Xenopus tropicalis: one gene and its partner. The protein of the gene in region 1 purifies or fractionates together with the protein of each later gene. This does not show direct contact. Links are inferred from orthologs where the notes say so. Each region holds a gene or a part of one and is shown in the gene's direction. Other genes may lie near its edges.

Region 1 (6,306 bases):
AGAAAGGTCTATGTAAATACAGCCATAAGCACTCACAGAAACGCTGCACTGACTTCTCTGTGAAAAGATTTGTTGTGTCTGTAATTCCTGTGCCAGAGACACCCAGCTTTCTGCTCTCTCCCCTCTCCTGCTCCCCCCTCCCTCAAGAATGCTAAGAACTCACTCCCCCCCCCTTAGGAATGTGGATCTGAGCCAATCAGCAGGAAGCTGACTCATAGGGGCACATTTACTAACCCACGAACGGGCCGAATGCGTCCGATTGAGTTTTTTTCGCAATGATCGGTATTTTGCGATTTTTCGGAAAATTGTCGTAGCCATTCCGAAAGTTGCGCAAAATGTTGCGATTTTTTCGTTGCGTTAAAACTTGCGCAAAAGTCGCGACTTTTTCGCAGCTTTCGCGCTGAGTACGAAAGATTCGGATTCATTCAAGCTTCAGTATGGTGACTTTTCTTGGGCCAAGTTGGAGCTGCAGAGTGCCATTGAGTCCTATGGGAGGCTTCCAAAATCATGCTAAGTCTGAAAGTTTTGCCCGCCGCTTACGAGCACTCAATACGAAAAAGTCGCGACAAGATACGAGCGAATCGTAATGGCTATGAAAAACTCGCATTTTTTTGCGCAAGTCGTAATGGTTACGAAAAAGTTGTGACAATTTCCGAAAAGTCGTAAAGGCGACGAAAAAAATCACAAAAAATACGAAAAAGTCGCAAAATGTTCGTTTTCCAATCGGAATTTTTCCAATTCGGATTCGTGGGTTAGTAAATGTGCCCCATAGTCTTACAAACTAAGCATGTACACTTAGCCTCGGTACAGGAGTGAGGCATTATGGGAACTTTCTTTACACAGCTCAGAGTTTTTTCTTCCTGTTTGCGTTCTGATCATCTGAACAGGAGAAATATGGGGAGACTTAAAGGAGAAGGAAAGGCTAAGTCACTTGGGGGTGCCAAAATGTTAGGCACCCCCAAGTGACTTACATGACCTACCTTGTACCCCGGGCTGGTGCCCCCGTTAGGAGAAAACAGCACCAGCCCGGGGCACCTGTAGACACCGCTTCCTCCTTCCTTTGCGCGCTGCTGCCGAAATCCGTGGGCCGGCGCATGCGCAGTAGAGTGAAAAGCCGACTTTAATGTTTAAGTTCGGCTTTTCACTCTACTGCGCATGCGCGCGCAAGCGAGGAGGAAGCAGGTAGCGCCGGCAGCTGCCCCGGGCTGGTGCTGTTCTCTCCGTACGGGGGCACCAGCCCGGGGTACAAGGTAGGCGTTCTAAGTCACTTGGGGGTGCCTAACATTTTGGCACCCCCAAGTGACTTAACCTTTCCTTCTCCTTTAAGGGCACTATTGAGACAACTGAAGGTATGCCTGCAGCTTGAGATTAACTCTTTATTAGCCTTTCCTTCTCCTTTAAGCTTAGAACCACCTTATGAATTGATGAGACCCTGAGTGACTATTGTGAAGGCTTAGTATCTTGATCATTCAGTAAGCAGAACGGAATCCTGAGGGTTTCTATTCTCCTGATGGTGCTTTGCTATTTGCAGTTTATATATTTCCACAGAAAATCCACATTGAGGACTAAGGGGAGAAATTGAAAAGCCCCCCTGAATTTTGTGTTTGTTATTTTCATAGAGTGGAAGATAGGACTCACTATTGTATGGTGCTGCTCTCACCGTAAACTAGTGCTGTGTATTTAAGTTTTATTTGTTTCACTCCGACATTAGTACCTGGGCCACTGCATTTCTTAGCAAACAGGAGGGCCAGCCTAGGGTGGTCTCACATAAGTGATTATAGCTTTCTTTCTGATTTAAATTTTCCTATGCATCTTATACTTGTGTTGTGCTGCTTCCTGTTTAAAAAATGTCTGCTGCCCAGGGGGGAAAAAAATCTTTGGTAAATAAAGGTACTAGAGGCCAAAAAATGAACAGTTTTATGATCAGCATAAGGAACTAGGTTCTTTGTATGGTGCTAAAACAGACAGTCAATATCTTGCTCTGTCAAACGAGATTATGGATTAGCCACTTCTGAGCTTCCAAAGGGGTTAAATCTGTACATTATATTGTTGTTATGCAACATTTAAGAGACAATTCCACAGACATGCTCATTTATAAAGTTTATTTTCAGTTTTTTCACCACACTGAAATCATTGGAGGTACATGTATTGCTTACCCTAATGCAATTTCTGTCCATGCAGTAGTTATTTAAGTTATTATTTCAACCCGCTCTGGGTACTTCTGTACCTTATCAAACAAGCAGGTCTAATATGTTAAATCTTGCTGAACACAAAGACAGTTTCAGTAGTTTTTATTCGGTTAAATGAAAAGGAAATTGAGTTGGGAATTTACAAAACTGTTATGATATATATTTGTTTAATTTTGAAGTTAATTTAAAATTTGTTTCTATACTTTCTGTACAGTTGACACTGTTTTCCTGGTGTGCAGAAGTGCAGAGAGTTTAAACCACTAGATTCTGTTTTTAATATGTTATGTAAATAAAACTTTTGAATGTTTTTATTAATATACCTTGGAAAGTTGATTACAATTTACATTATGCAAAAGAAGGGCAGATAATAATTTAAAGTTTTCTTCTGTGGTTTTAATGTGTGTTTGAGTAGAGGGCATTTTTTATGTAATATCTGTATTTCTGTTTGTTTTCTTTCCTATAGTACAACATGAATGCATACCCCAAGCAATTCTTGGTATGGATATTTTATGTCAAGCAAAGTCTGGCATGGGAAAAACAGCAGTTTTTGTGTTAGCCACATTGCAACAGCTGGAACCTGTTACTGGGCAGGTGAGTGTTAAGGAACAAAAAAACAAAATTAAAAGTAAAGTCACGTTACTTTTAGTTAAGATGAAAATGAGCAAAAAATCACCAGTCCACCGAGATGCCCTTTGCATAAAAACGCCTCCCTTCTCCAAGTTTGTCTGTGAGATTAGAATTAGCCCATTATAAAAACAATAAGTAAAAAGGCGAAAATGTTCCGCACAAAAAAGGTTCTAATCCTGAGGGCATACTTTCTTTTGAAAAGTAAAATATATAACTAAACAAAAGCTACAATTATGGAGAGAATTTAGATTGTCTGAAATAAATAATTGAAAGGGAAATTCACAATAAAAAAAAAACAATGATTGGGGCCCAAACTAGCAAAATCTTATCATCTAATACTTTACAACTTGCGTGAGTACTAGTAGTTCTCTTAAAAAATTACTTTTTAAAATGGTGTAGACCCTATTCCTGTTAGCGATCTGGTGGGTTTAATTGTGCTTCTGGAAAGAGATGTTATTAGGAAATGCATTTTGCCTGTAGAGTTACCTGGGGATGTAGATGCTATGTCATTGGCAGTATCTTACATCCTTTGCCAGTGATGTAGTAACTGTGCTATTGGCAGGAAAAGGGTTAAAGTGCTATCTGGTGGCTGAAGCTTAAAGGAAAAGTAACACTAAAAATTTTAGAAAATACCTGCTAAAACTTGGCTTCTGGTCATTTGAAACAGGGCGATGCAGCGAAGAATTCAAACAACGGGAAGCCGGGAAGTTTTAGCAGGTATTTTCTAATAAAGCATTAAAAATAATAAATGGTGTGCAGGATAGGGCAATTATAGGCAGGGTAGAATAGATTTTTTACTTAAAAATTTTTAGTGTTACTTTTCCTTTAGCTACCCTAGTAAAAAATTTAAACTCCATGCAGCTCCTTGCCATTTATTGTCCAGTATGCTAACTCAAGACAAGTGCATATATTTGTTGCTGTGTGAAAATGCACTTAGGTGACATTTACAATCCAAAATATTGTATTTTCTGTTGTTTTTGTAGTGTTGACTGTCCCTTTCCTTGGATTGTATTGTAGGTCTCTGTATTAGTCATGTGTCACACAAGAGAGTTGGCTTTTCAAATCAGTAAGGAGTATGAGAGATTCTCCAAATATATGCCTTCTGTTAAGGTAAGGAATATGTATGTAAATCTGTCTGGTTTTAAATTTCCATGGCTTGTTAACTCTTGTTTGCCTAAATATGATGTGCCTTTCCAATGGAAAAGAAAAGGTACCCATCAGACATTTTTTTCTATAATGAACAGTTATTTTCCTTGTGGTGTTTAAGTGTGCAGCACTTTCATAACAATTCTTAAAGGAGAAGGAAAGGCAAAGTCACTTGGGGGTGCAAAAATGTTAGGCACCCCCAAGTGACTTTAATTGCTTACTTTGTACCCTGGGCTGGTGCCCCTGTTAGGAGAGAACAGCACCAGCCCGGGGTAGCTGCAAGCGCTTCCTAAAATTTTGGCACCCCCAAGTGCCTTAGCCTTTCCTTCTCCTTTAAGTTCATTTGCTCTTTAGAGAGCACTGTATTATAGAGTTTGATCAGAATAGCAGCAGCATGCCAACTACAAACCATACAAATAAATAAATAAATATATGCAGATAAGTAGACGAGAATGAAAAACTTGTGAATATTTCTTCTGATGAATATAAACCAGTCTTATTTGCCTGCTGATCAGTACATGTGTAGGTAAGAGGGCAACTTAAACAGTCTGTCTTTGGCCTGTGGGTTTGCCCCTTTCTGTCCTTTTAACTTTCATTTCCTTATGAAAAAAAGTAATATTTTCTTTATCTGTCCCATATTGCAGAAATGTTTTTTTCCTCTTTAGTTTGTGGGGATGGCAGTGACTGGCAGCAGTGTAACATTTTGATAAACAGATGCAACATTGTGTTTAAATCATACAGCTTCTGCAATCTCACAATACTTCTAAACCATATACATACATCCTATAATCTAATAATAAGTGGCAAGTGGAAGGGGCCAGAAGGTTTCTTTTGTAATGGATAGTCCAAAATTACTACGGGTTTATTTTATATAGTTAAAGGATCAGTAATGTCAAAAAGTGAAAATGTTTTTTTTTTTTTACATTTAACATTTTTATCTTTCTACCTAGATCCTTCAAATAAACTATTTCTTGGCAACAGTTGTCCTATTTTTTATGAAAGAGGTTTTCATACCTTAGGGCAGTGATCCCCAACCAGTGGTTCATGAGCAACATGTTGCTCCCCAACCCCTTGGATGTTGCTCCCAGTGGCCTCAAAGCAGGTGCTTATTTTTGAATTTCTGGCTTCTAGGCAAGTTTTGGTTGCATAAAACCCGGTGTAATTGCCAAACAGAGCTTCCTTTAGGCTGCCAGTCTATATAGGAGCTACCAAATAGCCAATTAAAGCTCTTATTTGCACCCTCAGGAACTTTTTCAATGCTTTTGTTGCTCTCCGACACACTTTCTATTTGAATGTGGCTCACGGGTATGAAAGGTTGCGGATCCCTGCCTTAGGGCATTCTCATTCTTTTTTCTCAGCAGATCATCCACCAGGTGTGAAGTTACCCTTACTCCCTTTGGCACCTATTTATCCTCCTGTGTCAGAACTCAACCCTCTGACACATCTTATCCATTACATGCCTTCTAAATCTGTGGCTCTTTTGCAGCAACACAGTGCAGTGTAGGGCAATGGTGCCTAATATTTTAATTACTTTAAAACACTCATTTTTTTTAGTGTTATTGTTTCTTTAAAGGTATTTGACTCTCTACTGTCATTGCTTTCCCCTGTTTTTCTGTTTTTTTTCCTTGTCTTTAAAATTACACTATGTCTTTCAGGTGGCAGTATTTTTTGGGGGGCTTGCTATTAAGAAAGATGAGGAGGTTCTGAAAAAGAGCTGTCCCCACATTGTGGTGGGAACACCAGGGCGAATGCTGGCGCTTGCAAGAAACAAGACTCTGAATCTGAAACACATCAAACATTTCATCCTTGATGAGTGTGACAAGATGTTAGAACAGCTAGGTGAGTAATTAAATGCAATACATGCCTAAATAAGCCAAAGGCAAAATGTCTTTCTTTTTTGGATTTACAACCTTCTTTAGGGAAATATACCACAGGAAGAAGTATATTTTGAATATTTTGTGTTTGTCATATGGGTTCTTATATTAAGGTGAATACAGCAGCCCTTTAAAGGAAATGTAACACTAAATTTTTTTAAGTAAAAAAGCTATTTTACCCTGCACCAATAAATGTCCTATCCTGCAAACCACTTAGTTTTTTAAATGCTTTAATAGAAAATACCTGCTAAAACTTGGCTTCCTGCCAATTGAACTATGGCGATAAGGCGAAGGAAGGAGCTGCATCCACTATGCGACGATCGATTGATCGAGCCTAGCCTTCTTTCTGTATAGGAAGGAGTCAGGCTAGGCTCGATCAATTGATCGTCAAATAGTGGATGCAGCTCCTTCCTTCGCCTTATCGCCGTAGTTCAATTGAAAGGAAGCCAAGTTTTAGCAGGTATTTTCTA
Region 2 (6,306 bases), on another chromosome or scaffold:
AGATCGAGAAATGATTAGAAAAGGTGGTTATGAGAGGCTTTTCCATTGTAAATTACCTATGGGTGCTATGTGTTGTCTTTAGTGTTGCATTTAGTTATTTGATCATTTAAAGGAGAAGGAAAGGCTAATAAAGAGTTAATCTCTAGCTGCAGGCATACCTTCAGTTCTCTCAATAGTGCCCTTAAGTCTCCCAATATTTCACCTGTTCAGAAGATCTGAAGCCAAACAGGAATAAAAAACGCAGAGCTAGATAAAGAGGATTCGCATAATGCATTGCTCGTGCATTGACTATGTGAATAGGACACTAGGTGGCGCATGCACATTGCTCGATCTTAGTAAGAGAAGCCTGCGAGCGGGCGGTGGTGTTCGATCGCCACGGGGCGGTTTGCAAGCGGGGGAATCCAGGAATCCAAGATGGCGGCTGTGACAGGCTGCAAATACACCTAAGTTACAAGCCAATTTTTGTGAGATGTTATTTTATTTTAAAAAATAAATTTGGTGATTTGCTTTGGGCAAGGGAGCTCTACACTATATTAAGGGATACAACAGTAGTAGCCTTTCCTTGCTCTTTAACATCATTGCTTAAAATTGCCAAAAGAAAATTATTTTTTAAATTTTGCTTTCTAAAACAAACCCTTTCAGATTTTGACACTGTTTTGCTATATACCTTGCCAATACCGTTTGCCCAAGGGTTAGGTCTGTTCCTTGGCAGTAATAGAATTGTACCACCAGATATATTTACTGCCAACAGTGATGTTTAAAATAATTTATGAGGCGGTTTCCTCCATTATCTTTGATTTCTTCAGTTTATGAAATGCAAAAGAAAAACTTCTAACATGTTTTTTCACTATTTCCTTAGCAATCCCCAAAGTCCGCCTTGAAACTCTTTATGTCTATGGTGTTGATGATATGAGCACTGAGGATATCTTTGCCTTCTTTAAGCAATACCCTCCAGGATACATTGAATGGCTGGATGACAGCTCCTGTAAGTGTATTCCTATTTTGCTAGATGCTTGGATAGAATTCATTTTTCTATACAATACAGAATGCCATTTGTTATGAGTGCATATTGGTGCAGTAACTACGATTCCAACAATCCAGTCTTGTTTTAGCCTTCTGATCTTACTTTCAAATACACCTGAAGCCTTAAAACAGTCTCAATAGTGCCATTATTTGTATGTCACTTTTTCTGTATCTAAAGAGAAACATATTTTCTGGTGATTGTGTTTAGTTCTAAAAATGTTCTTTTTCTGGAATAGTTTTAACTGTTTTCATTTGCAGATAATATTAAAGAATATCCACAAGTGCTCCTAATATATTTGGTATGGCAGCAATATCCATTCCACAACTCTGATAGCATGTATCATTTCAGTTCTTCCTCAGAAACTTAGAGATGGACACCAGTGCTGAATGCAGAAAGATAGCTCTGGATCTGTTGTTCTGTAGTCACCAGTAGTATAAATCCCATTTGTAGAAGGGGTGAACTAATTAACACGTGCTATACCGTGCATACATAAGTATTTAAAGGAGAAGGAAAGGCTAATAAAGAGTTCATCTCAAGCTGCAGGCATACCTTCCCTTCTCTCAATAGTGCCCTTAAGTCTCCGCATATTTCTCCCATTCAGATTATCAGAAGCCACACAGGAAGAAAAAACTGAGCTCTGTAGAGAAAGTTCCCATAATGCCTCACTCCTGCACCAAGAGCAAGACCTGTGTACATGCTCAGTTAGACTATGGGGCTGATTTACTTACCCACGAACGGGTCGAATGGAGTCCGATTGCGTTTTTTTCGTAATGATCGGTACTTTGCGATTTTTTCGTATGTTTTGCGATTTTTTCGGATTCTGTACGAATTTTTCGGATCCAATACGATTTTTGCGTAAAAACGCGAGTTTTCCTATCCATTACGAAAGTTGCGTAAAAAAGTTGCGCATTTTGCGTAGCGTTAAAACTTACGTGAAAAGTTGCGCATTTTTCGTAGCGTTAAGTTTTAACGCTACGAAAAATGCGCAACTTTTCGCGTAAGTTTTAACGCTACGCAAAATGCGCAACTTTTTACACAACTTTCGTAATGGATACGAAAAACTCGCGTTTTTACGCAAAAATCGTATTGGATCCGAAAAATTCGTACAGAATCCGAAAAAATCGCAAAACATACGAAAAAGTCGCAAAATGTTCGTTTTCAAGTCGGAACTTTTCCAATTCGGGTCGGATTCGTGGGTTAGTAAATCAGCCCCTATGAGTCAGCTTCCTGCTGATTGGCTCAGATCCACCTTCCTAAGGGGGGGAGTGAGTTCTTAGCATTCTTGAGGGAGGGCGGGAGCAGGAGAGAGCAGAGAGCTGCCTGTCTCTGGCAGAGGAAAACAGACGCAACTAATCTTTTGTAATTTCTTATGGCTGTATTTACATAGACCTTTCTGATAAAGCTTACTTAGTTTTTACCTTTCTTTCTCCTTTAATGTGCAGTACATAAAGTACATAATGGTGCATACCATTATGTATGCACCGCACCAAAAAGCAATTGGTAATAAGCTGATTGATGTGGCCCTCTTTCTGCTCCTTAGATATATTTGTATCAATAGTAAAAGCTCACCCTTGTGTCCTATAAGCTGCCCAATTCATAAGCCATTTGCACCATACTCTACTCAATGAATGATTCTGTGAAAGCTCCATACAAAGAACTCATGCAGTTTATTACAGTGGCTAAAGACAGCTTTTTTGTGTTTTTCAGGGTTTATGGTAGAGCAGGGAATTTGGAATGTATTTCCACTGTTGTGTATGTTTTATGTGTGCAAACGAGAAATCTTACTTGAACATCCAACACTGAATATACATTAAATTAAGGTATTTAAATTCCTTAGTCAGTGAATTCTTTTCCTTTTTGTCTAAGGAATGATTAATGCTAAAAGCTGGGGTTTATGGTCCCCAAACTGACACAAGTTTAACATATTGGATAGGTTTTACCTACCAGCCAGTGAGAGAAATGTATTATATAGTGAAAGTTAGCATTGTTTAGAACTATACATACCTCTCACCAGCGCACCACTTCTGTGATAGACAGGGTCAAAGTCTCCAAAATTTGTTTTCTGTATTTTTTGTTACAGATGTTTAACTTTATGTGGGTGGTGTGCTTCCTAATGCACTTGGTACTGGACATACTGCAACTATGGACTGTTAATTGTTTCACTTTAGACTAAAACAGTGAATAAATTGTTGTATTTCCTTTCCATGTTGAATCCTTTGATTGCACATTTTAGAATGCTGTGTATTTTACTGTACAGATGTGTGCCAGCAATCTATGCAAGCTGTGTTCATGATTTAGTTTTGCATTTTCTCCTTAGGTAACGTTGTGTGGCTGGATGAGGTAACTCCGTCTCGTGCTTTGTTAAACCTAAGCAGTATGCCCACTAATGAAAAAGGCCAAAGAAAAAAAGATGGAGAGCACAGTTCTGCCAGATCCAAAAAGGGTAAATTCTTCTTTTTATCTCGCCATCTGACATAATCATTACTCTCATACCCATAATGGTTTTTAGGATAACTGCATGCACAATACCTCTTTGGAGCTTTTAGTCCCACAAAATGATATCTTGTTTCAGGTTAAAACATTTTAAAGGAGCAGTATGCACCTATAACACCCTTTTGCAACATGAGCAAAATAAACAGAACCTGTGCTGAAAGTACATGTGAAAAAACAATGTAAATGATTATTAATATAAATAAATAAAAGGGAGAAGACACACTGGGCGATTAGTCGCCACGACTGTTAATGAAGCCAGTTTCAGCGAGTACAATGGCCATCACCACGACTAATCGCCCCATGTGTCTTCGCCCTAAAAATACATAGTTTTTAGTTATTTGTGTTGTAAAACAGTAAGAGAACAATGTTTTGCTTCCACACTTACTATCCTACCATTAGTTAACTTACTTATAGATACTGAGCCCTTCTGTCACTATTTTATTGTGGCGGTTTTGTTAGAAGGAGTTCATTTATTCAGTTGTTTATCTGTGCTCTGGTAATCTGTTTATATTTATGGGACCTGTTATCCAGAATGCTTGGGACCTCAGGTTTTCCAGATAAGGGGTCTGTCCATAATTTTGATCTCCATGCTTTAAGTCTGCTAAAAAAAATTGTTGAAAGTTATTAAACTCCGAAGGATTGCTTTGCCTCCAATAAGCAGTAATTATATCTCAGTTGAGATCTAGTACAAGGTACTGTTTTATTATTTCAGAGCAAAAGAAAATATATTTAATATTCTTGAATTATTTGATTAATATGGCATCTATTACGCCTTCCCGTAATTTGAAGCTTTCCGGATAATGGGTTTGAGAATAAAGGATCCCATACCTGTATTAACTTGTAAAATCCAAACATGGAGTAGTTTCAGTTTTTTTATTTCTCTGTGTAGATAAAGAAATAACAAAAAACATTGTTGAACATGTTGAACAAGGGGTCATACTGCCCCATTAATAATTACCTTGGGCTGGTACAGAACCTGTTAGCCTACTTCTTTGGAGATTTAGTTTTCCTTTAAGTAGTTTTTGCTAACGGTGATGTACATTATGTTTTGGGTTTATGTACCAGCCCAAGGCAACCACAGCCCTTTAGCAGGGAAGATCTGTGCCTCCAATCCCCCTATCTTCTTTTCTGCTGATAACCTGCCCATGCTCTGTGCTGCTGTCACTCACCTGAGCTTAGGGACCGACACACAATATGCTGTATATACAGTGTATAATAAATACTATACAAGGCTAATTGGTAATTAGTAATTTTTAGAGTTTATTTAAGGTAAGGGTTAGTTAGTTCACCAGACTTGCTTTTTATGATTTCCTTTCAGTTGAATTTAAAGATTGAGTCCGCAACAACCAAAAAGTTATTTTTTTTAATAAACATCTTTATTATAATCCGTTAAAACAAACCCCATATACAAAGCCTAATGTGTTTCATGCTAATCTATAAATACATGGTATAGAGCACAACCCACCTTTATTAAAACCAATCAATGTAGAGCAACTCACTGCTCCTCTAATGCAGACATTTTTATTCATTAAGTTTACTCTATCAAATAAAAAGTCAATTTTACCAAAGTTAAAAAATACATACCACAGGGTTACAGAGTGAAAATACACAAAAAATATAAACAATATATTTTTCACACAAAGCAGGTAAAATCAAAAGTAAAATTCAAACCTAAGGGTATACGTGTATGAACATAAAAAATCCAAAACACTTCATGTTTATGGAGAAGGGTAAGGGTATCTCCTCCTCTCCTTCCAATTTGTTCAATTGCCTGTACTGAAAATAATTTTTTTATCACTATTGTTACACTTTGCAAAGTGTCTAGTGTACAATCTTACAATATACAAAATTACACACAGGGAGTGTTATAATAAATACAATAAATAAGTATAAATACACAAGGAGTAAGTGCCATGTGGTAAGCAACACAGTAGGAAGGAGGTCCCTGCTCCGTAGCGCTTACAATCTAAGTGGTTGTTGGGTAACATACAGGTACAAATTGGAAGGTAAGAGTGCATCAGGTATGGGCATTTGCCCTTAAGCGCAGGACTAGGCAAAATAATGTTTTAGTGCTCCAGAAGGTAGCATCTAGAGTTTTATCTCAAAGAGAGTGGGTGAGTGTTACCTACAGAGGGATTCAGGAATAGAGTTCCAGAGGCAAGGAGCAGCGAGATAGAAAGGTTTAAGACAAGAAATTGCAGTGGGTGTGGATGGTGTAAAAAGACGGAGGCCCTGAGAGGAGTGGAGTAGACGACCAGGATTTTTATTCACATTCTTTATTTTACACAGAATTTGTAACAGTCTCTCTGTTGTAGGGATTGGCTTCACCTTGGAATTTGTTTTCCTTTATGAACCAGATTTAACATGTAACTTTCCATATTTTTTACTGTCCTTTTAGACAGACTTGATGACAGCCCACTGAGCTCTGGAGATGAGACTGAGGAAGGTGAAGTAGAAGAGGACAATCCTAGTGAAGCAGAAGATGAAGATGAAACTGAAACTGAAAAGAAATCGGTGAACCCGGTAAGGATTCCAATATAAACAGAAGTTTTGTGTGTGTGACCCTCTCTGTGTTGTATCTTTGTGAAACACTTTATATAGGGGATATCTGACTTGTTTTTATATATACAGTGGAGGAAATAATTATTTGACCCCTCACTGATTTTGTAAGTTTGTCCAATGACAAAGAAATGAAAAGTCTCAGAACAGTATCATTTCAATGGTAGGTTTATTTTAACAGTGGCAGATAGCACATCAAAAGGAAAATCGAAAAAATAACTTTAAATAAA

The links. The genes of interacting proteins can lie anywhere in the genome.
Region 2: the proteins of ddx39b (region 1) and ncbp3 purify together in Homo sapiens (co-immunoprecipitation; 4 studies listed by BioGRID and IntAct, with this or other methods). This does not show direct contact. The link is inferred for Xenopus tropicalis from reciprocal best matches to the Homo sapiens genes DDX39B and NCBP3.

The regions. Positions count from the first base shown.
Region 1 is NC_030684.2:74,202,078-74,208,383, reverse strand, and holds part of ddx39b (spliceosome RNA helicase DDX39B), read left to right. Parts: intron 1-2,652; coding exon 2,653-2,780; intron 2,781-3,833; coding exon 3,834-3,926; intron 3,927-5,617; coding exon 5,618-5,801; intron 5,802-6,306. UniProt on the Homo sapiens protein: Involved in nuclear export of spliced and unspliced mRNA. Component of the TREX complex which is thought to couple mRNA transcription, processing and nuclear export, and specifically associates with spliced mRNA and not with unspliced pre-mRNA.
Region 2 is NC_030678.2:48,494,126-48,500,431, forward strand, and holds part of ncbp3 (nuclear cap-binding protein subunit 3), read left to right. Parts: coding exon 1-23; intron 24-859; coding exon 860-985; intron 986-3,341; coding exon 3,342-3,467; intron 3,468-5,915; coding exon 5,916-6,040; intron 6,041-6,306. UniProt on the Homo sapiens protein: Associates with NCBP1/CBP80 to form an alternative cap-binding complex (CBC) which plays a key role in mRNA export. NCBP3 serves as adapter protein linking the capped RNAs (m7GpppG-capped RNA) to NCBP1/CBP80.